3 linked regions of the Daphnia pulex genome follow. The protein of the gene in region 1 interacts with the protein of each later gene in a biochemical or structural test. Links are inferred from orthologs where the notes say so. Each region holds a gene or a part of one and is shown in the gene's direction. Other genes may lie near its edges. The genes, in order: ubiquitin-conjugating enzyme E2 C-like, ubiquitin-like modifier-activating enzyme 1 and RING-box protein 2-like.

Evidence for each region.
Region 2: of the proteins of ubiquitin-conjugating enzyme E2 C-like (region 1) and ubiquitin-like modifier-activating enzyme 1, one has a biochemical effect on the other in vitro, tested with the Homo sapiens proteins (5 studies listed by BioGRID, with this or other methods). The link is inferred for Daphnia pulex from reciprocal best matches to the Homo sapiens genes UBE2C and UBA1.
Region 3: the proteins of ubiquitin-conjugating enzyme E2 C-like (region 1) and RING-box protein 2-like form a complex in vitro, tested with the Homo sapiens proteins (4 studies listed by BioGRID). The link is inferred for Daphnia pulex from reciprocal best matches to the Homo sapiens genes UBE2C and RNF7.

What each region holds. Positions count from the first base shown.
Region 1 is NC_060021.1:2,194,599-2,204,141, forward strand, and holds ubiquitin-conjugating enzyme E2 C-like, read left to right. Parts: upstream 1-5,258; 5' UTR 5,259-5,405; coding exon 5,406-5,509; intron 5,510-5,581; coding exon 5,582-5,696; intron 5,697-5,755; coding exon 5,756-6,067; 3' UTR 6,068-6,234; downstream 6,235-9,543. Other genes in the region: intraflagellar transport protein 172 homolog, read right to left, coding at 1-144, 211-336, 412-624, 691-998, 1,064-1,569, 1,643-1,774, 1,838-2,033, 2,108-2,728 and 11 more; transcription elongation factor S-II-like, read left to right, coding at 7,201-7,266, 7,337-7,514, 7,578-7,814, 7,869-8,065, 8,153-8,299, 8,371-8,451; hexosaminidase D-like, read right to left, coding at 9,143-9,529. UniProt on the Homo sapiens protein: Accepts ubiquitin from the E1 complex and catalyzes its covalent attachment to other proteins. In vitro catalyzes 'Lys-11'- and 'Lys-48'-linked polyubiquitination.
Region 2 is NC_060018.1:5,970,508-5,981,524, reverse strand, and holds ubiquitin-like modifier-activating enzyme 1, read left to right. Parts: upstream 1-4,695; 5' UTR 4,696-4,843; exon of another isoform or gene 4,844-4,989; intron 4,990-5,095; 5' UTR 5,096-5,115; coding exon 5,116-6,492; intron 6,493-6,553; coding exon 6,554-6,637; intron 6,638-6,708; coding exon 6,709-7,128; intron 7,129-7,212; coding exon 7,213-7,558; intron 7,559-7,614; coding exon 7,615-7,757; intron 7,758-7,829; coding exon 7,830-8,321; intron 8,322-8,387; coding exon 8,388-8,714; 3' UTR 8,715-9,099; downstream 9,100-11,017. Other genes in the region: ankyrin repeat and BTB/POZ domain-containing protein 1-like, read right to left, coding at 40-240, 305-367, 431-486; ras-related protein Rab-7L1-like, read left to right, coding at 711-911, 971-1,012, 1,069-1,181, 1,368-1,394, 1,458-1,489, 1,545-1,634, 1,699-1,840; polynucleotide 5'-hydroxyl-kinase nol9-like, read right to left, coding at 2,051-2,519, 2,591-4,335; uncharacterized protein LOC124207205, read left to right, coding at 9,490-10,858, 10,919-11,017. UniProt on the Homo sapiens protein: Catalyzes the first step in ubiquitin conjugation to mark cellular proteins for degradation through the ubiquitin-proteasome system.
Region 3 is NC_060024.1:9,931,583-9,941,865, reverse strand, and holds RING-box protein 2-like, read left to right. Parts: upstream 1-296; 5' UTR 297-409; intron 410-574; 5' UTR 575-597; coding exon 598-766; exon of another isoform or gene 767-1,293; coding exon of another isoform or gene 1,294-1,572; intron 1,573-1,644; coding exon of another isoform or gene 1,645-2,474; intron 2,475-2,533; coding exon of another isoform or gene 2,534-2,657; intron 2,658-2,722; coding exon of another isoform or gene 2,723-3,412; exon of another isoform or gene 3,413-3,462; intron 3,463-3,865; exon of another isoform or gene 3,866-4,022; intron 4,023-5,673; coding exon 5,674-5,786; intron 5,787-5,853; coding exon 5,854-5,919; 3' UTR 5,920-6,010; downstream 6,011-10,283. Other genes in the region: tyrosine-protein kinase Shark-like, read right to left, coding at 26-137; facilitated trehalose transporter Tret1-2 homolog, read right to left, coding at 1,294-1,572, 1,645-2,474, 2,534-2,657, 2,723-3,412; uncharacterized protein LOC124200065, read right to left, coding at 6,174-6,316, 6,393-6,603, 6,696-6,856, 6,930-7,073, 7,141-7,335, 7,406-7,548, 7,622-7,772, 7,839-7,983 and 7 more. UniProt on the Homo sapiens protein: Catalytic component of multiple cullin-5-RING E3 ubiquitin-protein ligase complexes (ECS complexes), which mediate the ubiquitination and subsequent proteasomal degradation of target proteins.

The sequences.
Region 1 (9,543 bases):
ATCGCCAGCCTCCAGTGAGGCCTGAGCCCTTGAAATCAGGATCTGATTCAGCGCTTCCGGGTCGTGTTGTTCGGCTAATTGTTCGGCTGCCAACCAATCTCCTCGACTTAAATGCATGTCAATAGCTTCCCGAACCGCTCCCGCCTGGTTTCAATATCTGATTTTCAATTATTTCCCAACTATAAGCAACAGATTTATTTAAATTAAAACCTTGACAAAAGCTTCTTCCGCTTCCTTCCAGTGATCGGAAGCTTGCAAGTGGACAGCCAATTGGCGTTGAACTGCTTTCAGTTTATGCGGCGCTACAGTTTGCGCCATGCTCACGGCAAATTCAAACTAATTCATTTGAATTCAAATGGAAAATAATTATTATTTATTGAATTTTAGAGGTTGCTGACGTGCATGTTATACCATTTCTTGGTCGCATGCCAAAGCGATGCATTCTTCTGCCATTCCGTGGCGTAATAATAATTTGCCGCCCACTTCCGGACCTACGCTCACAGCCCATTCCAGGGCCAGTGCAGCAGCTTCTTTGGCACTTCCCTTGGCTTGGGCTACCCGGAAGGCATCCTCCCATAGGCCACAATCTCTGTACATGGTTACAGCATCTTTCCAATGATTGGCCTAATAAAAAAAAATGATTTCGACATAACATAGGGCAAATTTCTCATTTGAACATGTCATAATTACCGCGATAAAATGTTTCTCGGCGGATTTCCGGTTTCCATCGGCCTGCAGCTGTCGAGCAATGTCCAAGTGGTAGTGAAACAACTGGTCCGGCTGGTGGTTGCTAATCAGACGGACGAGTTGATCGTAGTTCTTGGTGGAGCGGTACATTTCGACGGCCAAATCGATCAACTGGGCGGCGACGTAGAGTTGTTCGGCATCCCGCAAACGGCCGGCCTTCACCAGCGCCTGACCTTCGTCCGTGAAAAGTCGTTTCATTTCGGCCGCCGGTAACGAATGTTTGGCCGCCTCATACGCCCTGCTCCAATGACCTAATCAATTCATCAAAAGTTATTTCATTATTTTCCCATTCATGCTAATAGCCTACTGTTCTTACCAGCAGAAATGTACATTTGGACGACTTCCATGGGCAGATTGCCTCTGATGAAAAACTTTTCAGCTTTCTCGTAGGCTCGAGTGGTGGCGTAATAGCGGCCGAGCATTTGAAAGTGTTCCGGTTCGACGTTGGATTCGCCGACGACTTCCAAAATATCGGCGGCTTTCTCCCATTGGCGAGCGTCGATGGCCGCCCTGAGGGCCGTCGTCATCTTCCCGGCTTCGATGTAGTGAGCTATGGCTTGTTCCGGTCGATGGGTGGTCATGAGATGATCACCCCACAACTCTTCCAGCAAGATCACTTCTCCGGGGAAAGAATGGCGGGCTAAATCAATAGCTTTGGCGTAGGAATGACCTTTGCGGTAGAATTCCAGGGCTCTGTCCGCTTTGCCGGTCGCCTGGTAAACCTCGCCCACCTGGACGTACATGTTGCAACGCTGCAAAGCCGTCACCACTTGATGAACCGCCTCCGCGTCGGATAAGAGCTCCTCTCTGTGCAGCATCAGTCTGTTATAATCAATAAAGGAGCTATTGGATTAAGTTGATCGTTCCTCTTATAACCCGAATTATGATTTTTTACTTGGCCGCCTTGGAAGGAAGGCCGGCTTTGAGGCACATGTTGACGGCCGATGGGTAGTCTCCCAATCGCTCATAGACTTCGGCAGCTGCCGATTCCTGACAAGTTGTTTGCAGCCATTGCAGGTAGTCTTGCCTAAATGTCAAAATTTTAAATGAAAAACTGTAATACAAATAACATTTTTCTTTTACATTTCACCTGATTTGATGTCTGTCTGAAAGATTATAAGTCTCCGCTACTCGAAGGGCGTCCTCCCATTGGAGTAATTGGCGGTACATCCGCACAGCGTCATCCGGACTGCCTTGATCGATGTAAATGCGCTCAGCTGTGGCTAAATCTCGCTGGAAAATGGCCATTCGGGCTTGAACCAGTGGCGAGCTGAATCCATCGCCCTCTGGAATAGAATCAGTTAAATCAACTCAAACGAATTTAGAAATGTGAATTTTTAAAACTTAATTAATTAAATACTGATTGTTTTAGCGACTTCCTCAGAGGCTCGCACCGTTTCCATCAGAAAACGAACTTTGGCGATGTCTCCGAGAGCGGCGAAGCAGCGGCTGGCGATGCGCAATTCGACGGCGTCGAGGCTGATGCGAGCCAAAGTGGCCCAGAGTCCTTTGGCAGAGCCGGGCGAATGGGAATCGAGTCGTTCCAGGTAGGACAGAGCCCGGACCAGATCGCCGTCCTCGATGGCCGTCCCAAATTCAATCAGCTGATCGTCCAGGGCGATTTCGTTGATGATGGTTCCGTCCTGGACGCGGACAACTGTCCTTCCGCCCGCCTCTTTGACAATGTCCAGTACTTCGCCGCGGATGTCGATGGTCTGGACCTTGTCGCTGCTCTCGGCGTGATACCAAACGTGGAGCAAGGATGGACTTTGGGCGACGATGACGTCACTGCCCGTCACCCACTCCACAAAGAGACACGAACTGAGCAAAAGCGTTTTAGTCGAGGTGGCCAGATCGACCATGTAGAGCCGCAATTTCTGATCGCGGAACAGCAACTTTCGGCCCGTCTCGTTCATTTCAAGCCAATCGATTTTCGATTCGTGCGAGATGTGACCCAACGAATGGCCGGTCACCAAATCACCTTCAAAAATGTAATTAACATTTCATTGATAAAAAGAAGTTTTTTGTGTGAGGCAGGAATTACTGATGCCAATAGTTTTCAAGTCCAGTAGATAAGCCAATCGTTTCACGTTATCCCCCTCTTTACGGTGGCGCTCGTTTATGCGGACGCTGATCAGATGCGGATTCATAAATTCCATCCTAAGAAATTTCAATTGTAAATAATAATTATTGACAAAATCATTGGAAATGAGAGAAACCTCAAACGTTCCAAAATGGCATTGACACCGTATTCTATCAGCGTGAGTTCACCCCGAGAGAAAACCATGCAGGCGTGCGGAGTGTCAAAATGGAATTTCGTTTTATTTCCATCCTGCAATCGGGAGGGGGAAAAAAAGAGAATGTCAAAGGAATTTCCGGAATTTTTCTTAATTTTAATTCCGTAAACCTGAACGACTTCCGGTTCCTTCCACGACACTTCGCTAACGAGTCCACGTTTCAAGTCGGCGACGATAAGCGTCCGATCGGTACGAGCCACGGCGTAATTTTCTCTGCCCATGATTCTAACCTGAAATAGTATGTACGTTATGATGATAATGCGTAACGTTTTCGAATTAAAATCTTGTTGATACCGTTTCGATTTCCAGGCCGGGATGCGTGCGGATGACTACCGGATGGAAAAAAGGAACACCTTCTTCCGGTACGGATTTGATGACTACTTGACTAGATGAAATGTAAATGATCTCCACTCGACCATTCCACAAAGTTCTCCTGCGTGTGTAGATAAATTATTAAACACAATAGTAACAGATTGAAAATGAAAAATGGATTATGAATACTTGGCGACGGTTTCCAAGAGTTCCACTCCGCCGCAAAGAGAAGAGGAGACCAGATAAAGCGAATCGGTTCGCCATGCCAAACACGTCACCGTGTACATGTTTTTGATCTCCTTGATTGCGCTTTCTTCCCATTGTCTCTTCCTCGAATTGAACGACAGGATGCGAATCCTTTTGAAACAGGATCCGATTTGATTGAATTGATTTCTCGAACTCTTATATTTTTATTATATCGTGAATGCATACTTATCGAAACTTCCTAGAGCGACCATCTGACCGCATCCGCTTGACACGGCCACAGTAATTTCGTGTTCGTCCTTGACTCGACTGTAATCAAACTGTTGAAGTGGCCTTCCTTCGGCCGAGTAACAAATCAGCTTCTGGTCCGATCCAGATGCTAAAATTAACGGGCCAGCCCAAACAAGAGCAGTGGGAGCCACTCCATGAACCACAACTTTTCCCTGTGTGTACACGAGACGGTGATTTTTATAATTAATATTATCACGAATAATCTGGGTAGTACCTGAGGAAGAGCAGTGCCATCATCTGCCACATAAAATCGAACAATCGTTCCGTCAGCGTGTCCAGAGATAAAACCGGTTCCCGATTGACTATAGTAAACTAAACAATTTTAGATTTGCAGTTAATTAAAACTTAAAAAATATAGATTCCCTACTTGGAGACTAGTGTTTCGACAAAGGACTCTGTGGCGTAGAGTGTCTGGGATTTGTTGGTTTTGATGTGGGCAGCGCGTACTTTTCCGTCAGTCAACCCGAGAATAATTGGCCCTTGGCTAGGCCAAATTAAGCAGGTAACAGAGCTCGCCTGAGCAAATTTATTACAGATAACTTTTTTATCCCCCCTGCCATCAGCAACCCCAAAACGGCGTGAATGAATATCAATTTTGCCGCGAAATTTAAAAACCGCATTTCAATACCAATCATCGCCGATTTTGTAGACAAAGACAATTTGATCCGTCTGTCCTATGGCGATTTTGGTAGAGTCGGGAGAAAAAGCTATTCCTTTGATGCTGTAACTTTTCTTGCCGTACTGAACGAGGGACAAAAGAGAGTACAGATTGACCAATTTAAACAAGTCAATTTCTCATATTATTACTAACTTTGGAATCGGATGGTTTAGTCGAAAATTTGTCTCTCTTCTCTCCATTGGCGTCAAAAAGAAACACGACTCTTTCTGCGGTTGCCACAGCTAATTTCTGGCCATTGACCGACCAACACATACCACACGTTTTGGCGGCGCCATCCTTTTTAGAAGAATCATTTCCTCATTCAACGAATTTATAAAATAATATAAAGGTTTTATTTTTAAATCTCACTCACTTGATAAGGTAGAAGAGTCTTTGCTCGACGTATTTGCATTTTTAAGAATCAGTATGTTTAAAACATTTTCCAGAAATGTATCGGATAATTTTTCAGAAAATGAAAAAACGAGTGTTTTGAATCTTTCTTGGTTGCTAGGCAACAAGCCAATCAATAATAGAGGGCGCCGTAAGTAGAACAACCCTGCAAGTAAAGTAAATCGAATTAAAAAAAAAGAAAAATTATGGATTTGAAATATTTATTGTGTATTTAAAAATTATTATAATCTTAAATGAATGTAAATGGTTTCCAAATCATCTCATAAAACTTAAATTTCAGATCTGGCAATAGCTTTCCGTTTGAAATTTTTTTTTGGCACACACCTCCCTCTCACGAAGTCAGTTGTAAAAAAGCTTAAGGTCGAACGACGTCCCCCTTCTGCTGCTCTTGCCCCTGGCCCAGCTTCCTTCTTTCTCAGTTTCTCAATTAGTTTTATCCTAGCTGCTTAATAATACTGTATCGACAATTTTATTGATATTACAATATGGCTCAAAATATTGATCCAGTCAACGGGTCCAACAATAGTACGGCGATGAAAGATGGGGACGGGCCTGCGTCGGCCACGAAACACCAGTCGACCAGCAAACGGTGAGAAACATACCAAACAGAAAAAAATGGCTTCAGTAGTTAATGTTATAATAACTTTGTACATTTTTGCAGATTGCAGCAAGAGCTTCTTACACTCATGATGTCTGGTGATAAAGGAATCTCTGCTTTCCCAAACGGTGACGAATTTTTTTCATGGATTGGCACAATCATTGGCCCAAAGGGAACGGTAAGTCTTCAGACCATCTTTTGTAGTTTGTAACTTACCTTAATGTCTTTGTGTTTTAGGTTTATGATGGTTTAATATATAAACTAAGCCTCACCTTTCCAAATGGCTACCCTTTTACTGCCCCAACAGTCAAGTTTGTCACTCCTTGCTTCCATCCTAATGTGGACACATATGGTAACATCTGCCTGGACATACTCAAGGACAAATGGTCTGCTCTCTACGATGTCAGGACAATCCTTCTGTCCATTCAAAGCCTGCTTGGAGATCCCAACAATGACAGCCCTCTGAATGGCCAAGCAGCTCAACTATGGTCTGATCAAGTTGCCTACAAGAAATTACTGCTTGAGAAATTTCAAGACATCAAATCCTGAACCCAATCTGAGGTTTTATACCATCATCATCGTTCCATAGCTATAATACAATGTCACTCTTCCAATGTTTACAGAAATTCTTGGTTTCCTAATTTCAAGTCTTTTAATTGTGCTGTAATGGTGCCTGTTCTAAAAAAAGAAAAATAGAAGCAAAATTTTGCATTCCAGATTTTGATGTTGAGTTTCATTGTGCGGGAATTGGATGAGGATTGAGGACTTTTGTTTCATTTCTGATCACCTAAACTACAGCTATTTTTATTTAATTTAGAATATTTGTGCGTAAATTTCAAACATACGTGGTAACGTGGAATATTGTACGACTGATCACCGTCAAATTAGAATTTTAGACATTGTACAATTCAAAGTTTAGCTTGAGCTCAGCAATGTTGGTATAGAATTTAACATAATTTAAATATTTATAGTTACGACGTTATAAGGCAAAGTTAATGTTGTATCACTTGTATGTGTTCTCAAGCTTGAAGGCCAGCTAAAATAGTTTTAAATATGCAATTTTTATTGAATGAACGTTTTTCGATAGCCTAATTCTTAAATGAATTTTAGCCTCAGCTTGAATTTCCGAGCTTACCAAACATAGTTTAAGTGTGCCGTACCAAGGGTATGCGAATTATTAACGTTGAAAATTTAAAAAACGTAATTTTTAAAAATAAAATTTTCAAGGCAACCGCTAGACTCGCTACGCATTTTCTTTCGAATGTGTGTCAACACATCTAGTAGAAATTTAACGCCTGCAGTCCACTCCAGCGTACACTTTAAGAAATTTTGGTAATATTACAATCAATTTGAAGCATTTATGAACTACTCGCGATGAAACAATTTTGGACGTTCAAACAAATTCAATACAGATTTATGAACGTTTATTTCGTTAATTAGCAGATTTTCTGAACGCAATCTTATACTTTTAGTAGTAGCTAACGTAAAAGTCCCACGTCTAAATTTCCGTGCTACAGAAATGGGAAATAACGACGCGTAAAATAAATCGAAAGATCGTCTGCTGTTTAGCTGTTGTGTTATTGCCATTGCTGTAGAACAACGCGGCTACAAGTCCTCACGTTTCGCGCGTAAATCACGATAAAATTTTCATCTTCACAACCGTTTGAAATCGTTAATTCATTATGGATTGCGAAAAAGATGTGCTACGTATTCAGAAGAAGTTGGATAAGATTGTGAAAGAAGAGCTGGTAACATATTTTGCTCATCTAATACGTCACGTTGTGGTTCAAGTTGTACGATATTAACTTGACGTTACAGGGCCAAGATGAAGCGTTGGATTACTTGAAAGCTTTGAAAGATCTACCAATTAATTTGGCTGTTTTAACTAGCACTAGAATTGGTATGACTGTCAATGCTATCCGCAAGAAAAGTGAAAATGATGAAGTCAACAATCTCACCAAAGCGTTAATCAAGAAATGGAAGAAGCTCCTACCTGGTAACTATTAAATTTTTTGTTATACTCCCAAACTGTCGTTACTTTCCTGGTTTGGAAATTTTGACTCAGGATCAGCTAACCCAAAAGAAGGCACAAAAGAGGAGGGGAAAGTATCTGAAAAAACCAAAGAACCACCAAAAGAGACTCCTTCGAAAGAATCATCCAAAGACAAAAAAGGTTCCTCTAGCAGTGTCCAATCTTCATTTCCTGCCCTACCATCAACAACCACAGACTCAGTTAGGCTTAAATGCCGGGAGATGTTGTGTGCTGCAATTAAAGGAGATGGTGTTGCTGTAGATGGTACACACACTTAAATTTATAACTTTGACTTATTCATCAACTGTTACAAAATAGGTGGAGGCGATCCTGAGTACCTGGCCCAAATGCTGGAGGAATGCATTTACAAAGAGTGTAGAAATACAGACATGAAATACAAGAACCGAGTTAGAAGTCGAGTTTCTAATCTGAAGGACGCCCGAAACCCCAATTTGCGCCTCAATTTTCTCTGTGGTCAAGTTAGCCCTGCTCGTCTTTCGAATATGACTTCTGAAGTGAGTAGTAACTGAGGATGATTACGTTTTATTAGAGACGAATGTGTACTCAAATTAAATTGTATTCATAATCTAAACTTATTTTAGGAAATGGCTTCTGATGAAATGAAGAATATTCGCCAAAAGTTTACTAAAGAAAGCATCAACGATGCTCAGCTGGCCACAGTTCAGGGTACACAAACCGATCTCCTCAAGTGCGGAAAGTGCGGAAAACGCAACTGCACTTACAATCAGGTATGATAACCTTTGGTTTTTGAAAATGTAACGTAAAAATTACAACTCGTGTACTTTTTCATTTTTCTCAGGTCCAAACACGAAGCGCTGATGAGCCGATGACGACTTTCGTTCTCTGCAACGCTTGCGGCAATCGATGGAAGTTCTGCTAAAAACCTTGTGTTGTACCAATAATGCTAAAATAACAACAAAAATTCAAGTTCGTTACCTACGTTTTGGTTAAGACAATGCCTCCGAATCCTTTTGACTAACCTTTCTTAGCCCATTATTTTCCCCCTCCCCAAAATGCACCTCAGAAGTGGAAAGCAAGTTTTGGATATTTCCCTCTCAGCTCAATAGAGTCCCTTATTTGCATTAATGGCTCTATAGTAAAAACTGACTGAATACAAATTGTAAGACCTGATCATCGAGTTTAGCTGATGTATTAAATTTTATCTTTTTCTGTGACCACCATTAACCGTTTAATTAGGTACGAAAACAAACAAAAAAATTGGGGAATATCAATTTGTTCCGAGTGCTACCCGTCAGCGACCAAAATTATAAACGATCATGAACAGTGCATTAAACAGTCGACTAATATGTAAAAAAATTCTAACCAGAAAATGGGCCAGAAAATATCATGGGAAACAGCGGGGAATGGAAATAAATGATGTGCACAGCGAGAAGAGCCTTTCCGTGCAACAGAACATAACAGCATAGTCAGAAAAACTTTAGATGTTTGTATATGCCATGATTTTTGTCAAAAGTTGAACACGAGGCATCTGTCCTTTGGGATAAGACCTCGCTAAATAAAATAAAAAGTGTACGGTATTGCAGATTATTATTTCGAATATTCGTGAGTGTTTAGTGGTGAGTGCTGGACTGCGTTTCATTCACGTTGAAAAAATGGTTAAAATGGAGGCCGTACTGCTGCCATCGATCAAATAATTTGAGTGGGCGAACAGGCCAGTATTTTTGGGAGCGCAATGTAGCTGCGTCCATTTGGATACGATCCAATTTCTCGAAAAGGGGCAAAAGTTTTTGTTCCATCCACTCGGATATCGTGTGAACGTCAAAGATGTTCTTCAGTATGTCCATTGTCTGCTTAGCTACTGCGTTGAGACTGCCCGACAGGTAAGGCAAGTCGCGCAAAAGCTCATCAATACGAGCTGGGCTACTGTAGTTGTGCCGGACGCTGTAATCCGTCAGCCAACCCTTACGTTTGGTAGTCAATATGACATATTCTTCAATCTAGAATTAAATTC
Region 2 (11,017 bases), on another chromosome or scaffold:
CATTAAGTGGTAGAGTATTTTAAGTTTCTGTCATCTTACTTCCTCAAAAACTCTTCATACTCATCACGAACTACAACTCGGGATGAAAGGACTTTGTAGTTCCTCAACTTGTTCCGTATTTCATTTGTCAATGCACCATAGAGGATGCGTTCTCCATCAAATGTTTGTGCTTCACATAGTGCTCCATTATCTAATAGATATTCTGCTAGCTCAACATGACCACATAAACATGCATAGTACCTTGTTTTCAAATTAAAGGGATTACCTTAGATTATTTAAGTGGATTTGAAATAATTCAACTTACAGCGGCGTGCTATCCCATCTGTCTCGAACATTTAGATCAACTTCCTTCTGTTCTACTAGGTACCTGTAACAAGTATTTGTTGAAGCTGGCTTGATACCGTTTTAGAAGTATCCATCGAAAGTATACTTAATTTTTTTCAAATTTCCGGATCGACAACTGAGGAATAGTTCACGTAGATCCATGTAATACCGATTAGAAGATATGTTTTTAAGAAGTCCTTAAATTATAGTTACAAATCGGTTTTCAGTTTTCACGTGCCGACTAAAGTAAACATCGTCTGTAGCTACAGTTTCCATGGTGACCTGCAGATTTTCCCACGCAATGAATTTGATTCGAGTTCGACGCTCTAACCTCTAAAATTATAAAGATTTCTACATTTCACTAATTATGAACTTTAAAAAATTAGAATATAACAGAGCGACTGAGAAATTGTTCAAAGTGATTATAATCGGCGACCCCGGAGTGGGGAAAACTTCATTTATTCGCCGGTATGTTCAAAATGCCTTTCGCGGGGATTATAAAGCTACGATAGGCGTAGATTTTGCTTTGAAAATTGTCAGATGGTCAGAAAACCAGACCATCAAGTTGCAACTTTGGGATATTGCAGGTAATATTATTCCCTTTTCTTTAATTCAACAATAAATTCAACAAACATTTGTTTCACAGGCCAGGAAAGATTTACATGGATGACACGTGTATATTACAAAGGTTTCGTTTATTTGTAAGTCTATAAATTGTGTTGTATTAAAAACCTTCACTTTCAGAAGCTCAAGGCTGTATCATTATGTTCGATTTGACAAGTCGAAACTCATTTGAAAACGCAGTAAAGTGGAAAAAAGATGTCGACTCTAAATGTGTCTTGGAAGATGGTGCGCCGGTATGTTACTGTTTTGCTATTTTTGTTTTTTTCTATTTTACCTTTCCTGCTTTTTGTGTATTACCTTTTCTATTTGGTTGTCTATGTTAAATTTATTTTAATAAATAAATTTAACTGACATAATAAACAATAACTACATGACCACCGTATTTTTAAAATTAAATTAAATGTCTGTTTTACTACCAGGTTCCGTGTATGTTATTAGCCAACAAAGTAAGTTGTTTCTGGTGCAGTCCAATTTAAGCAGATATTTAACTAAACGCATCTATTTTACAGTGTGATTTGCGGCAAAGGGAGGTGGATCAATGGTGAGAATCCGTTCTAATGCAAATAATAATTAATAATTTAGAAGATCCAAATTAGGGAGATTGAAACTCTTTGTCGGGAGCACAGCTTCATTGGTTGGACAGAAACATCAGCAAAAGATGACCTGATGGTTGGTGACTGCATGCGGTGAGTCGAAAGAGTAATGTCTATTACAAACTGCTCTCAATTACTGCCCTACATTCAAAATTAGGTTCCTGATCGAAATAATGATGAAGTATAACCGCTTCCAAACGACCGACATTTTTGGGCCGTCCCTAAAGCTTAGTAAACGAACAATCGAAGAAAGCAACGGTGTAATTGCTAGAAAGGAAACTTCTTCTTGCGGCTGCTGACCGTGAATCTACATTAATATTTATAAGTTCATTTTCATGTGCTGACCCTGTTATTCTTGGGTTGAAAATCAATTCATTCTAATAATAGCGCGAATAGCACTTCTATATAAATAAAAGTGGCTGTTATTTCTAACTTATGATCAAATCAAATAAAAAAAAAATTATTTTCATCGCCACACAACTTCTAGTTTTACTTAACCATCACACATATTACACAACATTGCGCAAAGTAAAGACGGGATTGTACTTGCGGTAGGGTCGACATGCTGGCTGAGCAACAGAAGGACCAAAAGTCCCGTATGGGACTCGTAGTTTCGTGACACATTCTTCATCTTGGTTGACCGATAAAGGTGCATCGAGTAGTAGACTTTCTGGAACTCGTACTCCTCCCATCACTAAACAATTGACATGTGCAAGTCGCTCCGCTGGTTCTGGGCTGATCAAGTAGACACGGCCTCTTGTAAGGTCGATTCCTCTAATAATACCGTAGCCCAGACAAGGCATCAAAGGTAACTCTCGCAAAATTTTGGGGTATTTTCCGTCAGCAGCCTGGTAATATGGAACAGAAGCAGCGGCATCGTTGTCCAAAATGCAAAGAGCAACAAGCGAAGCGTTGAGAGCGGCCATTGTCAAAGCAGGTGGAACAGATTCATGGCAGATGCAAACGGCCAAATCTTGCCTTGAAATAGAAATTTTAATTGACACAATTATTCTTGAATACAATAATATTGATTGGGAAATCATTATTACCATGAAATGCAGTAGGGTACAGAATCCATTAACGACCAATGAGCGCTGTTAGATAGTTGGCTGAAATAGGACATTAGTCCAATTTGCCGCAATTCCGATGCACGAAAACCCCATTCTTCTAAACTTTTCTCCGATAGTTCCGCCGATGAATAGATTGCTTGTAGCTCGTAATTGGGTAATTTTTCTGACCACTCAGCAGCATCGGTTAGCCAGCCGCGTTGGTGTTGAGCAACATAATCACGTTCGAGCATTGAAGGGAAATTGCGACGAAGTGAGCGGCTGCTAATTTGAAGAAGTTGGTGTGGCTGGGTAAGACGAATCAAGTCTAAAGTTACATCCAGACCAATACCGCTAGTGAATCCCATGGTATTGATTAGTGTTGGAACGTTTTCCAAGGCAAATTTAAGCTTGCAGTCGATAAGAAGTTGCCGGCATGACCGAACATAGCGTTCCGGACAACCGATAATATCTGCATCCCCGACAAAGTATGAGAAAAGTGGCTGTTGAATGTGGGTAAAATTTGGACCAAGCAACGGTTCAGAGACTAAAGATGCTGTTACGCATCCCGCAGGAAAAAACTCTGGCTGGCCAGGATCAAAGTCCACCACCAAAACGGTTCCACACTTTTGGATGAGTTGATTAAGCAAGTAACGAAGTAGAGTTGATTTCCCCACTCCTTTTCCACCGAGCAACATTACTCTAACAGTTTCCTTTTTTTGATATTTATCCATTAATTGTTGTGCATACTCTGCCCAGACATCTGGTTGTAAATAGAATCTGGCGCTGAAAATGCTTCCGCGTAGAACAATACTCGTGTCAAGTTGGTTACAAAGTTTGCCAAATAGGTTGCGATTTTCATCTCTCCAATAATTAGATTCTGGAGGAACGCACTCTTCTTTCTTGAGGATGTTGATGGGGAAAATACGGCTGATGTAATCAATCATTCCAAAGTTAAGGGAACGCAAAATAAGCAAGACATTTTCAGAGCTCTTTTTCTTCAAAAGATTTTCTTCACACGTCAACCCAGCAGACTTCAAGAGAGCGTGAGCGCGGCTTGCATTAAAAGACGTATTGCTTTTTCCGACTGAACGGATGCACTGCAGACTGTATCCTCTAGGAGAAAAAACATGGTATGTTTTACTTAAATTCTGCTCAATAGAAAAGCCTTGCATCTCGGCAATCCCACTAAGACATGTCAAACTAAGACGTCCTTTGAAGTAAAAACATGTCTGAAATGGGATGAATGCTAGAACTTCATTGGGATTAATTAGAAGGAAATCAAATGTATCCAGAGTTTGGTAGACTGCTTGCAAAGAACTTGATTCCTCATCCATAGCAAAGGTTTCTTCAATACCTTCTTTTTCTGCTGTTAAAAAAGAATCATCCTCATTGGGAGAGGATTGGAATGAATTATCTTCATCAGAAATGTTGCTCTCCTTTAATTTAAGTTTTAAGGCACCAATGCCAGTCACCGACACACTTTGATTAATGGTTGAACTGTTGTCTACATTTAATTTGGATGATGTTTTGTTCTTTCGTGAAGTTTTTTTTTTAAGTTTTGATCTTTTCGAAGTTGGTTTGGTCTGTCCATTTTTTAAGGAATCATAGACACTTTTGGCTGAAAGCAAATGACTGACAAATGACAATTTTTTCTCTGCCATATTTGTTGAGTCAGAACTATCGTTTGTGTTGCTTTTTCTTGAAGAAGAAGCAGTCTTCGTTTTTTTGGTTGAGAGTTTCTTCATATTTGTCAAATCTTCGTGGAGGCTTAATGAATCTTCAAGAAAATTTTGGTTTGAGTTTTTATTTTAGTAAGCTATTTTAATAATATTCAATTATACCTGATTAGATCCTATTGTTATATTTTATTTTAAAAAATGCAGATTTTACAGTATTTTTAAGCAGCCGAATTTTCAATCCAAGCACGTGTAAAACTGTAAGCTATAACGCTCAAGTTGCCAGATGCTCTTTAATTCAGCGATCAAATTGTCGGCGGGAAATGTAACTATTATTACGCGTACTTTCTTTGTCATCATCATCACTCTATTTAATAATCGGCTAATAAAAAAGTCGACTATTGCGCCACCTTACTCGTTGATTACAGACATTTTTACTTTGGATTTTAGTAGGAATAGGGAATTGCCGGTACAAGGACTTACTTGCATCAGCTGATACCCGCCATTTCCCCATATCTACGTCGAGTCATCGGTGGGAGAAAGGTGGCAGCACGCAGCACTTTCGAGTTCATAGAAAGTACTGGTAATTACTGACTGACTTTCTGTTGCTCTCTTGCTCGTCATTCTTTCAGTTTGGCTATCTTTCGTTCCAATCCTGGTGTGCAAATTCGCCGGCATTTTGTCGTAATTGTTCATAATTCTCCCTTCGTTGGAATAGTCTAAGTGAGTATTCCAATCGTTCGGAGTTTGAAACTTACCGTAATTTTTTTTATATTAAAGTAAGAAAACTGGTTTGTTAGCACCCATTGTGACGCTCGTGTTGCCCAAGGTATTGAGTTTAATTTTTAGATGTCCACTGCTGAGGTGGATCCGTCACCCTCGTCTCCCAGTCCTGCTGCAAAGAAAAGGAAGTTGGAAGAAAATAACGGGAACAGCAGTAACGGTAGCAATCACCATTTAAAAGAAGTTCAGCAGCAACCGAAAATGGCAGGAAATGGCAACATCCACACCATCGATGAGGGTCTTTATTCCAGACAACTTTACGTATTGGGCCATGAAGCTATGCAGAGGATGGCAACTTCTGATGTCCTGATTTCCGGTCTTGGAGGCCTTGGAGTGGAAATTGCTAAGAATATCATCTTGGGAGGTGTGAAGTCCGTCACCCTTCATGACAACTCAATTTGCAAAGCCTCTGACCTTTCTTCCCAGTTTTATGTATCGGAAGCAGATCTGGGAAAGAACAGAGCTGAAGTTTCTCACAAGAGCCTGGCCGAACTCAACCAGTATGTCCCAGTAGAAACTTATACAGGAGAGTTGAACAAAGAATTCTTGAAGAAATACCGAGTTGTAGTTTTAACTAATTCAAGTCTTGAAGAGCAACTTCGGGTTTCTGAGATCGTTCGTAGCTTCGGCAATGCTCTCATCGTCTCTAAAACACAAGGTCTGTTTGCCCAAGTCTTCTGTGACTTTGGGGAAGATTTCACCATCATCGATACTACTGGAGAAAATCCCGTTTCTGCTATGATTGCTGGAGTGTCTAAAGAAGAAGCAAGTGTTGTTACTTGCTTGGATGAGACCCGGCACGGATTGGAAGATGGCGACTGTGTTACCTTCTCTGAGGTACAGGGCATGGTTGAGCTGAATGGTTGCGAACCCAAGAAGATCAAAGTACTTGGACCATACACCTTTAGCATTGGTGACACGAGCGCTTTCAGCGACTATGTACGTGGAGGAGTGGTTACCCAAGTGAAAATGCCTAAGCAAATCCACTTCAAACCGTTGGCTGACGCTCTCGAAGAACCAGAATTCGTGATGACAGATTTCGGCAAATTTGATCGGCCTCCCCAAATCCATCTAGCATTCAGGACATTGGACGCCTACGTCAAGAAGGAGGGACGATTGCCAACTCCTTGGAGCCGTAAAGACAGTCAACAGTTTGTGGATTTAGCTAAAGAGTTAAACAGCGGTCTAAGTGGCTCATCTAAAGTTGAAGAAGTTGACGAAAAGTTACTGGCCACCTTCTCCCATGTATGTCAAGGAGATTTGAACCCCTTAAACGCCACTCTCGGCGGGGTTGTCGCTCAAGAAGTTATGAAGGCGTGTAGCGAAAAGTTTTCTCCCATTGTTCAATGGCTATACTTCGATGCCACCGAGTGTCTGCCAGATAACCAAGATTCGTTGACCGAAGAAAACTGTAAGCTTACTGGATCCAGATATGATGGACAGGTATTGAAATATTTATTTTTGTTTTTCATCAGTTATGCATTTTATTTTTTTACATTTTCAGGTGGCAGTGTTTGGCAATGAATTCCAGAAAAAGCTTGGATCCCTACGTTACTTCATTGTGGGAGCTGGAGCTATCGGTTGTGAGGTAATTATCAAAGTTTTTGTAATAAATTTTCTGTAGATTTTATTAATTAAAAAATATATTCTATTTGTTAGCTTCTCAAAAATTTTGCCATGATTGGAGTTGGTGCTGGTGAAGGGGGCCAAGTCTTCGTAACAGACATGGACTTGATTGAAAAGTCCAATCTGAACAGGCAGTTTCTTTTCCGGTCGCATGACGTACAGAAACCCAAATCCAGTTCGGCGGCCGCTGCCGTGAAGGTGATGAACCCTCAGGCCAACGTTACAGCCTTCGAGAATCGCGTCGGTCCCGAAACGGAGCAGTTCTTTGATGACGATTTTTTTTCGAAATTGGATGGCGTTGCTAATGCCCTCGACAACGTGGATGCCCGTATCTACATGGATAGGCGCTGCGTCTATTACCACAAGCCCTTGCTCGAATCTGGAACTCTGGGTACCAAAGGAAACGTTCAAGTTGTTATCCCCCATCTAACGGAGTCATATAGTTCGTCTCAAGTAATATAGCTTATTATTTATTTTTTCTTTTATGCTAGTTTTCTGGTTTATTGTAATTAATCAACTTTCTTCTTAAACTTATAGGATCCTCCGGAAAAATCAATTCCTATCTGTACGCTGAAGAATTTTCCTAATGCCATTGAACACACACTGCAATGGGCTCGGGATATGTTCGAAGGGTTGTTCCGGCAATCAGCAGAGAGCGCTGCTCAATATTTAGTTGATTCTAAATTCATGGAGAGAACACTAAAGCTAACAGGATCTCAACCACTCGAGATAGTCGAGGCCGTCCACCGCAGCTTAGTTGAGGAACGTCCGAAGAATTTTGAGCAGTGTGTTCAATGGGCTCGCCTCCATTGGCAGGAACAATATCACAATCAGATCAAGCAATTATTGTTTAATTTTCCACCCGAGCAACTTACTTCTTCTGGTAAAATCTATTGATAAAGTGTAATTTACTTTGTATATAATTTTTTGTTTTGACAGGTCAACCGTTTTGGTCGGGACCTAAACGCTGTCCTCATCCATTGGAATTCGATATCACTAACCCCGTCCATTTGGATTATGTGGTTGCGGCTGCTAATCTAAAAGCTAAAATTTACAACATCCCACAGTCGCGCGATGTACAGGTGAGTTCACTTTTTTTAGTTAAAACATAATTTGATTTACAGTTGTTTTTATCCCCTCGGACTCGAATATAGGCTATTACTAAAATGGTGGAATCGTGTGTCGTACCGGAATTCGTACCACGTTCAGGAGTCAGAATTGCTGTTTCGGATGCGGAAGCTGCTGCTGCCGCCAACAACCCAGGCATGCTTGATGAAGACAGACTTACCCAGCTGCAGACGGAGTTGCCATCTGTGGACTCTCTGTCCGGCTTGCGCATTCTCCCCCTCGAATTTGAAAAGGATGACGACACCAACTTTCATATGGATTTCATCGTAGCCTCTTCTAACTTGCGGGCAGAGAATTATGATATCGCACCGGCCGATCGCCACAAGAGCAAACTTATTGCTGGAAAGATTATTCCAGCCATTGCTACTACTACCTCCGTCGTTTCAGGCTTGGTCTGCATCGAACTTTTGAAGTTGGTACAGGGTCATACCAATCCTGAGGCATTTAAGAACGGGTTTATCAACTTGGCTCTTCCGTTCTTTGGCTTTTCTGAACCAATCGCTGCTCCCAAGCAAACGGTATTGTTGGAAAATATTTTAATCGATTCGTTAACTAAAAAATTTTTTGTTTGTATTTGATTAAAGTATTACGACAAGGAATGGACCTTGTGGGATCGTTTTGAAGTGGAGGGTGAAAAGACGCTCCGGCAATTTATTGATTACTTCGAAAGCGAACACAAGCTGAAAATCACCATGCTTTCACAGGGTGTTTGCATGCTTTATTCGTTCTTTATGCCGCAAGCTAAACGAAGCGAACGTATGGATCTCCCCATGTCAGAGGTTGTCAAGCGTGTGTCGAAGAAGAGACTGGAGCCTCATGTCAAAGCACTCGTCTTCGAGTTATGCTGTAATAACCTTGAAGATGAAGACGTTGAAGTGCCCTACGTCCGTTACGTGCTCCCGACCGAATAAAACTATTTGATTACTCTACGTTGTGCGGCGGGTTGGGGGTTGGTTCATATTTGATTTCAAGGTTATTTACTACCATAATCATCAGTTCACTTGCGCTATATCCAATGTTGTGGACTATTAGCTTAGTTCGTTGCTTTCTTTAATTCTAAATAGAATTCTCTATGGAAGTTATGTTGACCTGGGTCATTTATAATCAATTCCAAGAGTTCTTTCTTCGTGCCAGTGAGTATTAAATGTTACCGATTGGATTAACAAAGGGCAAAAATCCTTACTCTACATGGCTGCAACTTTTTCAACAACCTCCCTTTCAACCCTTCCCCGTTTACCGATTGTACAACTGGCCTTGAATATTGGTATGAAGTTAATACATGCCGTCAAAATTAAATCCTATATAAAAATGTTTTTTTTTTTATCAAGTGCATTATCAACGTACTTAGCAAGTCTTTGACTTTGGTCGATTGATGATAAATCAATTGAGATAAATCAATGGCTGAAAGTTCGATTTATTCAATATTTATTCAATTAAAAATCTTCTTAATGATGTTACGGTATTGTCGTTTTATCGTAACAAAAATCAAAGTTTGCAATCGTCGTTTCGTAGGCAAAAATTTGTTAAAATAAAACATTAAATTATGACTTTGATTCTTGAAACTAGATGGCGTATCCCGCGACTGTTTAAATTTCCCGGTTTAAAAAAAATGGGGCTGGGATGATAAGAGTCGACTGCTCACTTGTTGTGTTAAAATCGTATAATATTCGCTAAACATTTAGTTCAATGGAAGTGGACGACAGCAAAAATTCATTCTTGTTACGAATCATCGACAATATGGCGAAGCAAGGCATGGCGAGTTTGTCTGGCGAGTCTGGGCCTCACGTCTCTCGTTACTTTCCTCGACCATCGGTGCCTACATCATCTAAAATCAATACTGAAAACCTACCAGTTGGTCTCATAAATTTAGGTTCCACTTGTTGGTTCAATGTTGCAGTTCAAATTTTATACCACATTCCTGCCTTTCGACAATTGATTTTACAGTTTGTGCCTCCTCAGACTACTGTGCCAATCCCGTCAATGGATGTTTTAGTTGGTCTTCAGGAACTTTTTGTCTCAATCACATTCTCCGATGAAAAACTGATTGATCCATCAAGAGCAGTGAATTCCATTGGAAAATTACTGGGGCAAGGTCTGGGTCAACAAGATGCCTGTGAATTTCTTGGAGTGGTACTTAACAGAATAAGAGAGATCAACCCACATGTAATTGAACAATTATTCATTGGATCATGTATCCCAACAAATTCAATGGAATCATCAAGCATCCAGCATCAAGAATTCATGCAATATACTTTACAAGTAAATGAAGATGCTACCCTGTTGGATTTATTGGAACAGTCTCTCAAAAGTCATTCCAGTTCATTAAGGATTGATTCAGCTCACACTTTACATTCCAGTTTGCCACTTGAACATCCCAAGCAACTATGTTTTAGCAATCTTCCACCAGTATTTTTAATTGATTTGTGTCGGCTGGTAAGCGGGACCAATCCGACAGAATTAATTAAATCCAATCATCAAATGACATTCCCATCCCTAGTTTTTATGGATCGTTTTTTGTCTGAAAACTCTGAGCAAGTATTACAACTCGATAGAGTTCTTAAAAATCTTTCTTCCACAAAAAAGGGACTTACAAAGCAATTACGGTCACTAGCGATTCTACACCAGGACGTGCCACAACTTAAAAAATTATATGAAAACTATCAAGAGACGGTAGGAGAAACCTCTGTTAATTTTGACCTTTTGCGGTCTTTAAATCTTACATGGGAAACTGAAATTCAAACAAAGATGAATGAACATCGTCACCAATCCCAGCAATTAAATTATCAATTAGAACATATTCGCAGTCGCAAAATGCATATCTGCCGCCCATATCAGTTGCATGCGGTGATGGTCCATGCTGGACAGTCAGATGGCGGTCACTATTGGATCTACGTTTGGGATAGCCAGCAAAATCATTGGTACCATATCGACGACAAATTTACTCGCCAAGTAACCTGGGATATTATAGTAAAAACATCATTTGGAGGTGCTACTCAAGAAAGTAGTGCTCATTGCCTCATTTACCTTGATGTGCCTAAGACTTACTCACTTTTGGGTAAAACACTGTTTTCTTTAATTTATAATTTTCATAAGCATTTAATATTTAATATTTCAGATATGAAAGAAGAATATGACATTGGACCTATGGACGTGTTGCGCTATTTGAAAGATCATACTGATGTACGTACTCGGCATTCTGCTTATGGCAAAAGCC
Region 3 (10,283 bases), on another chromosome or scaffold:
AAAAAAAATATTATTTTAAACAGACCATTAGTAAGTAGAGCTTCAGCCTCTTGCCTGTTGATTTTCCCATGAAACCACCTTAGGTCTTGGTCAGTTTCGTCTCTTGAAGGTCGTCGAGACATGGTATTGAAATTCATTTATAAAGGTTAAAAGAGCTAGATTAAAAGTCAAAATTTTTCTTCATGTTATTTTTATCAGAGAGTAGTCAAAGGGAGTTCCTTCCTGTCAGTGGCTGAACCAAAATTGAACCGAATATGCACTTGTGATTATAAGTCAGCTGAGCGAGCGCCGAGCGGGCTAGCAGACGACATAAACAATATCTCAGCATACAATTCTGAGAGCTCCTTTGCTGTGGTTTTCAATTTTTTACTGGCCCAAAATTCTGTGTTCATAATTCATATAGCTAAAAGTAAGCTTATTTTACCCATTCTTATCTTTTGATTATGTACCTGCATTCTATTGTGTATAGTTGTCAATCATATCCAATCAAACCTTAATGCAACTATTGCTTTCACTTCAATATGTCAGTCAATGTTAAAAATCATGTTAAATGTTTTTGTTTATTTTTTTACAGGTTTTTTTATTCTACTGCAGAAAATGGCAGATGATATTGATATGGAGAAATCAGTGGAAAAAACCACAGTTGGTAATGACTGTGTAGTCAAAACTGAAAAGATGTTCTCATTGAAACGGTGGAATGCAGTTGCTATGTGGAGCTGGGACGTTGAGTGTGAAATTTGTGCCATTTGCAGAGTTCAAGTTATGGGTAAGTCCCAATTTCAATATGTTTGTTAAGAAGGGTTAGAGACAAGAACTATTTTAAAGGAAAATGTTTAAAATTTATTTGTGGTTCTGGTATATTTACATTTCACAAAATATTCAGAAATTATCTGGTTTTCACATTTTCAACTAAATACTAAAGGGGTGGGGTGTCGGCAAGGTTGTAGTTATGGGGGTTGATGAGAAGTTTACCATTTTACAATGTTCTGTACCCTGCCTGATGTAGTAATGTACATAAATATTTTGGAAGATAAAACAATTAGAAAAGATTCGTAGTCTGCTGGGTATTAGGAGAAACAGTCGTATTTATAAATAACGAATCCTAATTGTTCTATTCCTAATTATAAGGCTATCTTTAAACTTTCCTGGGAAGAAATAAGGTAGAACAGAACAGATCATTCAGAGATTTGAGGAATTGAAGACATCATTTGATTAAAGAAAGGAATAGTCTTATGTACAAAAACATTGTCCGCACTGTTAAGACGTCCAACGTTGAAAAATAATTGGTCGCCTTTACAGCCTAGTAGATTCGATATCTTTTTTCGGTTTCTTTTCAAGCATACTTTTCTCGATACTCTCCAAACTGTGTCCCTTGGTCTCTGGTACGAAGAAGATAACGAAAAAGATGCTGATAAAGCAGAAGAAACCAAAAAACCAGAACGCTCCATGGGCGCCGATCGTCGCTATCAGGTCGTTGAAGAATTTAGTTACTGCGAAGCTGCAAGCCCAGTTGAAAGCTGTAGCTACAGATGCAGCGTGACCACGAACCTTGCTTGGGAAAATTTCTCCCATCTAAATTAGCCAAATAGAAATTTTGTTAGGATTGAATTTTTTTCAAACAGCCATCACATTTTAATAACGTACCATAAGCCAAGGGATAGGTCCATAACCGATGGAAAAGGCGACGATGTAGACTATGAATGTAGTCAGTGGAAGCCAACCGACGTGTTCGAGATCATGTTCAAGGTGTTGCAGAATGAAGAAGACTCCCAATGCGCCGAGGCTGATTGCCATAAAGAATCCGGATATGTTGAGTAAAACTTTACGGCCTACTCGGTCGATGACCATATTTGAGCCCAGTGTAGCCATAAAGTTAGCCAACCCAATAATGATGGAAGAGAGGTTGCTATCTACACTTCCGCCAGATTTTTCAAAAATAGACACGGTGTAAAAGATGACCGCGTTGATGCCAGAAAGTTGCTGAAAGAACATGAGTCCGAGTGAAATGAGTAGGGGCCGTAGGTAGGCAATTTTCAAAAGTTCTCTGGCTCCACCACCGACGCTCTGATTCTTGTAATTGTTTTCAATTTCGAGAAACTCGTCTTGAACGTTAGTTTTGCCCCCACGGAGCCACTGTAGAGATTCGCGAGCTTCGGTATAACGGCCTTTAGAGATGTACCAACGTGGTGTTTCCGGAATGAACCACATGAAAGCTAAAAAGGGTAGAGGAAGAGCTGCTCCGATGGCCGCCAATACTTTCCAGTCGATGTAGGAGCCCAGAATGTAGCAAAACAAGATGCCTATGTTGCCTATCGTGGTGGGCAACAGGCCCAGCGATCCTCTGACCTCCGGTTGAATAGTTTCACCCAAGTAGATGGGCAGCGTCAAGGTAGTAAGGCCCACGCAAAATCCCTGGATTGAACGTCCGGCGTAGACCATGGGCAGGTTTGTAGCAAACGTGATGAGTAACCAAGCTAGATGAAGAAAGCAAATATTAATATTTTGAATTCAATGACACTGTTGCGTTACTTACACAAAATGTATGGTGGCCCGGTAGCCATGATGGTCGTCTTCCGGCCAAAATGCTCGACAATACTTCCACCGACAATGCCACCGATTAGAGCGTTAAGCGGCATTAAGCTCCCGATCCATGACGCCTAAGAATTGAATGATTTCCAGTTAGTTTTTGTTTGGTATTAGGGATTTTAGTCTAGTTACTAACCTCTTGGTCGTTTACGGGAATAGAACTGTTGGGTTGTGTCATAGAAGCTAGGGCAGGAGAAGTATAGCCAGATGAGTACCCCTCGATCAAAGCTGCTATGGCCAGGGCCAGCGAAGCCAACACTTGAGGGAAAAGCCTTCCACGACTTTTGCGACTTGCGGGTTCCATTTTAAATGAAGGATCTGGGAACGTAATGATCTGTGAGACATTGGACAGCCTATCGTTGTCTTTATTTTCGTCGGGATTTTCCATTGCCATATTGTCTTCTTCTTTCGAGTCAGCTGGCATGATTGGATTCAGAGCAATCAACGATTCGCTGACGACCATTGAAGTGGAAGGTATAGCTAACGGGTCTTTTGAATCGGAATTGTTGAGTCGAGCTTGAGCCAACGTTTCAGCCAGCTGTTGGTAAACTACGGAAGTTTGATCGACAGTGGCTTCGCAGCTGGAACAGGAATAGGATCCAGTGGAATTGTCATCTTTAATCCACCGGTAACTTGAGGGTGAATCGGTGCCCGTGGAACTCAAGTCGCACCCACTGTCTCTGTTTCTAGTTTCACGCTTTTCGGCGGCCAGCATGATGGCGTGAATTTTACTGCTGTCTGATTCCATTTGGCAGTTTTGTCTATCTTCGGCAACAGCTTCGATATCGCACCAAATTGAAGGTTGCTGACCTAGTACCGTAGACATCTTTGGGGAGTTTTCTTTCACCTCCTAATCCACGTACGCTCTTGGACTCTCTGCAAGGTCGAAAAGTAAAGAAATAGGGTCAGCGATTAGAAACTGGGTTTCTCCAAAATCGCAAGAGAATCGGGTTTTTCCAGTTAAAACACATTTAATAATATGAGATTAATTAAAAAGTCATTTTAAACAATCACGCCTCCTTTTAAACGAATTAGTAACTAATTGTTAAAGCGCTTGGAATTTCAATCTTGCAACTTGTTAGACAATAGAATGGATTCGAGATTTAAAAATCTTAACACAGATGGTTTGGTTGTTTTAAGACAATCGAACGTCTTCACAAACATTTTACATAAATCGGAGTGTTATTTGACTTGGATTCCGCCGCTCGAGTAAACACAAAGTTACAAATAACAAAAAAAAAAAACAGAGTTTCAAAACACTAACTAAAATTAAACTTACAAATGCCTGGAGAAATAGAGGACGCCTTGAAGAGCTGTGTTGACGCAGGATTCGAGTGGATGTGTGTGATGAGCTAGTGGGGTCCGCATGTCTTTTTATACTTCTCAGCACGGCCTACCCTGCGCCGCTCGGTTTCTTCAAGTTTGTTTCATCCCTCCTTCTTTTTCATCTTCTATCGCGAGAAGTACGCTCAGCCTAACCACACGTCACATCGCCAACCCCCAAAATGTTTTTGACGAATCCTCTTTTTTCCGGTTTTTATTCCTACTGGGATCTTCGGCCTTTTTTTTTTAATCGATTTATTTTGGTTTTAAAATTAAATTAGGATTACGTCATAGTTTTCCACAGAAGGATCGCTATCCCCCAGACCCCCACTACTCCTGATTTCTATTCTGGTCGAAATCGCAATTTAAAATCAGACTCAAAAATAATTTTTCACACTCCATGAGTAGGTCAATATTGACTTTAACATAGTGAAAGTGAATTTTTAAGTTTAAGTGATGGTCTTTTGAGAGGGAGAAATTGAAAGGTTAATAACGTTCTCGGCCTAGTTTGAACCGGTCGAAAGCAGTTTGAGCAGGATTTTCTCCCCTTAATATATCAGGGGGTGGATAGGTTCTTATACAGGTAAGAAAGTTAAAAACCATAAATAGGTCTTTTGGGAGATTGTGGGCTTTCCAGCGTCGAAGTATATCGGAACCCCCTGTAGGCCTAAATGAGCCAACAAGATTTCATTAGTAACAAAATAAAAAAACCCACTCTGAATTTGCCAATAACTTCAACGTTATAAAAAGAGAAAACTGGCTCCACCTGCCGTAAATAATCGATAACACGACGTTGAACTTGACAAACTGACTTTCAATTGCTTTTGAGTATACTCTGTCTGGCTCTTGGGTTGATACCCTCCACATCTTTAGATAAGATTTTACATAGGGTGGTGTTTATCCCTTGGTATATTTCTTGTTGCCCCTTTTCCCCTTTTTGGCTTTCTTAAATATACAGGTCATAGGCATAAAAACATGGAGGGATGTTTATCGTCTTTCCACGGAGATGTGCTCCGTACCAGTTCTTTGCCTGGTACGGTGAAGGACGTGGTGGATTTCTCCCTTTTTAGTTGGAAATACGGTATCCCTCCCCCCAGAGTACCAGCCAAGATGACGCCCAAATAACCCAAGATCAAACCCCCTATTCCATAACCCGATTAACCTAAAGAAGAACAGGAATGAAGAGGAAGACAAAAATTCTTTTTTTCTTGGTTTTCTACATCTTTTTGGAACAATCGCCTTCGAGCGAGTTGTCGTTGTAACCTAACGGTATAAGAGAATATTTTTCGAGCTTCATATGAAAGACATAGTGGTGATGAAATGATATTGAGTAGTAACCATACAAAGCAGCGTGAACTTTGGTTCAAAGTCCAATGTTTAAGTGTTTTCCGGATCGAGTAACGCTAGAAGATGATGATAAATTAACAGAAAAATCGAGTAAAATGTTACAAGTTTAAATTTTAAAAGAGAAAGTCAACATTGAATTTCTTTTTTCCCTATTATGGAATTGTTTGGATAACAGGAAATTGAAGTCTAAAATGTTGTCCTAGTCCTTCGTTGGAAAAAGGATAGTCGAAGGTCGAAAGAGTGCAGTGAACGAGCCGCTCACGACCTCTCCCAACAAAGTGACGACATCGATAGCTCCGATAACCTTTTCTATTTTAAATTCTCAAAGCTGTTAGTTTTTTAAAAACTTTTCCAACCCCATTTACAACAAAGCGAGGAAAAGATAAAAATAATTTCTTTAATTTGTACTCAATTCAGATGCATGCCTACGTTGCCAGGCCGAAAATAGAAACGACAAGGAACAGGAGGAGTGTGTAGTCATCTGGGGCGAATGCAACCATTCATTTCACAACTGCTGCATGAAATTATGGGTAACATAATTGTTTATAATGTATTGTGCAAAATGAGTTAAACGTGATTTCTCGCCCTTTAATTCAGGTCAAGCAAAATAACCGCTGTCCTCTCTGTCAACAAGAGTGGTCCGTCCAACGAATTGGCAAATGAAGATCTTGATATTCGTGATTATAAAGTCACAAACACAATTCCAATCTTTTTTTTCATAATTGCTACTCATTAATACACGCAGTGTCGTCAATTTGTCTTTTTTTCACACGTGTATTTTTCCTTTTTTTTTTTAATGAAAGATTTTTCGGACTACTTGGGATGTTATTTTGTGTTATTTTCATTGATTGATCATCATGGGTTGTTAAAACAATCTATTCTGTTATTTTAATGCTTATTTTTAGGCTTCTGCGCTGTTAACGATTGAGGAACCAAGTCATCAATGCAGCTAAAGCTAGAGTCAAATGAGACAGAACTGCGCCTGCCACAGCGCTGTTGCAACGCATGCCGGAGTGGCTGAACGTGAATTTGACTTGATCCGGCGTATGGCAGTCTTTATCTGAATAAAAGGTAAAACAAATAACGTAATCATAGAAATCCTAAAGCATTTTTAAGTTAAAAATTTTAATTTGTACCTGCGCAGGGCAAATCGTCGTTAATGTTGGTGGGAGCAGCCGAAATGTAGATGTTTGAACACTGATCCGGTACCATTTTACCACACGGCTGCATGAATTTAAACTCGACGGTTTCACCGGCTTTCAATGCGGTCTTGCAGAGATCTCCGTTTCCTGGACGTTCCTTAGTGGTCGAAACGCAGAACCTTGCCATGCCGTACGTGCTCTTGAACTGTTAAATAGGGGCGGAACGCGTTACAAGTCAACACATTTAAGTACGTACTTGTTATCTCATTTGAAACTAAACAAGGAAAGGTAACTGACCCACAAGCGCAGTTCGTTGCTGCTGTAAAAACTTTCTGGGCCCAGACGGAAGTATTGGGTGGTGTAAGTGTTGAGGAGTCCTGTGTACATATATTTGGCCTCAGTGGAGTTGGAGCTAGAACTAATGTCTTTGCACTCGGGATATGTCAGACGAGCACCGACTGTTGAATGTCAACAATGAAAACATAAAGAAATTTGAAATCAATTGATGGCAAATTTTATCTTTCTGCATACCTGTAGCTAAGCGCTTGGCGATTTCGGGGGCAGCTTCGTGATACTTAGTGAACTGGGTCATGCGGATAATGTCGCGATCGAAATTGGCTACAAATGGACGAAGTTCTTCGGGATTGCCCAAAGTGGCGAACATGATGTGAACATCTAAAAATAATTGTCGTTTTACTTTTAACTTTTTTCTGACTTTTTTTCCAACATTCGAGATAATGACCTGGCATTTCGCCGAGCATTTTCAACAAAACAGATTTGATTTTGTCTTTCTCGTTTGAGATGCTGGTGGTCACGAAAAATAGGATGGCGCGAGTGTTGGTGCCACCAATTTTGTTGGCCTTTTCTGAAGACCTTTCGGCCAAAATACGAGTGCGAGTTCGATCCAAAGTGTCAGCTACACGACGTTCACTGGTTCCTGCAATTTTGGTGAGTGTTATGCGTACAATTTATGAAATTGAAATTAAATCCATGTCAAATTTGTATACCAATAGGGAGGCTGATGAATTTGCAAGCTAATTCGGCTCGATTGCGAGTAGCGTTGAGATCCAGGAAAGGAGTTCCGTCTTTACTTGACACAGCTTCCATTCGGCTGCCGCCCAGTTGGACATCCAACGCCAAAGCTAAAGCTCTGTATAACGTTTTAAATTACATGTTTTAGTATTATGATTGTAATTATTTGTTTCAAAGACATTCAGACTTACGCAGCGAGATCTTTCTGGCTGTAAAGGCTTTTGGCATCCGCGATTTGATCGAATACGAAGGTAAGATCAGTGTAAGTGGCTGGTGTAGCTTCGGCCGTCGATAGGGCGTAAGGTCCTTTGCACTGGGTGAAATCTACGATGTTTGAGTTGCCTGCAAAGAAAAAAAAAAAGTTTAAAATCCCGAAAATTATCCGTGAAACCAACAAAAATTATTTACTTAGGTATTGGTCCAAAAAAGAATTAATTTCGTTCATGGTTGTGTTGACATATTGGCCGATTTGATCCGCAGGTTTAACTCCGGGAAGAACAGTCGGAGCGCCGTCAATGCCGCGTGAGTACAGGACCAAAGCAGCGTTAAGAGACTACAATTAATTTGATCAATTAAATTAAAGTTGAATTTTTTTTTTAACTGCAGAGCATTCAGCGCACCTGTTCTTTGAGCATGGCCTGATCTACAATATCTGAGTCTCTGTAATTGTAGAGGCGGTTGCAAGCGCGGAACTTTGAGTCACCATGGATACCAGTCTCAGAATAGTACATTTCCAGGACGGCCGAAAGTTTCAAATAGCTGCTCGAATCCCAGGTAGCCATACGTTGAGCCATCAGCAAACCTAATGCCAATATTAACAAATGTTACATTCGTTTTGTCTAGGTTCAAGATTTTTCTGATTCTCACCATCAACACCACCATAAAATTCGGCGTTGGTCAACATGGAATGTTCTCTGGTTTCCAGCTTGTACTCACGCGGGCACAGTGTGCAATTCCACTGTCCTCGTGGTCCGAAACTTGGAAGGTTCTTGGGTGTTCTCAGAAGAGAAGTTTGTGCAATATCACCTAAACATGACGACGTTTTGGATTGTGGAACAGTAAAAGATTTTGTATGGATTGAACGAAAAAATACCTGCGAGCGTAGCCACCCAAATACTCTGAACAACCCTCTCCAGTGAGCTTGGCGAAAGTTCCATTTGCGGATCTTTGATGAGCTCTTTCAACTACAACAAAAGTAAAGGAAGATTTTTATGTTAATGAATCGTTTGATGCAATTGAATGGAGATTACCGGAGCGCTTTGAGGTTCACTTCCGGCAGCGATACCAGTCAGGACCGGGCCAGCTGCTACTGTGCCATACTTGGTGTGAACGATACCGACTTCCATTGGCTGAGCGGCCAAGGTTTCAGTTTGGCGACGCTTACGCTTCCAGCCGTCTGATTCACTTTCGCTATTGTCATCAACTGGGCCGTAGTCTTCACCCCCAGTCTCTACGGTATCTTCTCCAAAGATATTTTCCGTGTCTTCGGGTAAATCTTCTGGTACATCTTCTGTCAGTTCCACATCTGGCTCCTCTACTGGCTCATCTACTGGCTCATCTACTGGCTCATCTACTGGCTCATCTACTGGCTCATCTACTGGCTCATCTACTGGCTCATCTACCGGCTCATCTACCGGCTCATCAACTGGCACCTCTTCCTCATGTTCAACACCTTCGTGATCGTGCTCCGGTTCCACGAGATCCCTATTATAAATTGAATACGTCCTCAGTCTAGGTAGAGTGTCCGTCGTCAACAATTTCAATACTTACTCATCAGGTTGATTCTCATTCTCTACGACATCTTCTTCCACGTGATGAGAATGGTCAGGTTCAGAATCGGCGGCTGGCTGCTGGGGGTTGGCGAAGGACCGAGAAACAGGTGGTGCGGTTTTTTCTGCACTCGCCGTGTGGTTAACCGTGTAAGATAGCATCCAGTGCAGTGAACACTTTAATCAACGTTCACACAAAAAAAGAAATAGAAAAAGGATTATAATTCTAGGTTTGTAGCGTAATACGGCACTTGGTCTTCGCAATCGACTAGTAAAAGAATAATTATCTTTACAGGTGGGGCTGAACAAACACCTACACGAAAATGCATGGCTGTGAGGTCAAATCTTTGTCATAGTCTTTACACACGCACAGCACAGACAGTAGATAAGTTTAGAACAAGCATTATCTCTCCTTTTCTTTTTTTCTTTTTCCTTTTTTTTTCTTTTTTCTTTTTGGATTTTATTTTATAAAAATGAGTCGCCTACATTTTTGTGCCTCAAAATCTACGGGATAATATTTATTTTTTGTTTGTTGAAATTTTGTTTACCTTTTCTTCCATGGTCAATGAGGATTCCGGGAAGTCGGAAGCTGTTCCAGGTACTAGCTTCCATTGGAGGCGGTATTTGTCACTTTCAGCGCGTTCGTTGACGACCGGAACAACGTCGGGTCCAGCACCATCAGGAATGTCAATGATTCCATCGTAACGAAATCTTTACGTATTAAATATTTTTTTAAATTTTCAGATTTAAGAAAAAAGGTCTATCTGTTTTAAAGTTGGCGTTAAAGGATGAGACGGTACCTGTGGATTAGTGTGCTGGCCATCTTTCCAATCGGCCATAGAGCGGTGTCGGGATGAGCTTCGACTTTTCGGATGAGGGCTACCAAGTTCTCTATGGATGCGGGCATCCGGCGGAATTGGTCGCTGATGGTTTTGTTTACGTAACATAACGCCAAGTTGTCGGGAATGCGGTTTGGCCATGGATCGGCTGCCCAAGCCGTTGCCGCAAATATCGCTATTCGTGATTGGTAGTAAGTAAAAAGAAAAGAGAAAGAAAGATTTTTTTAAGTCAAATTTTCAGTTAT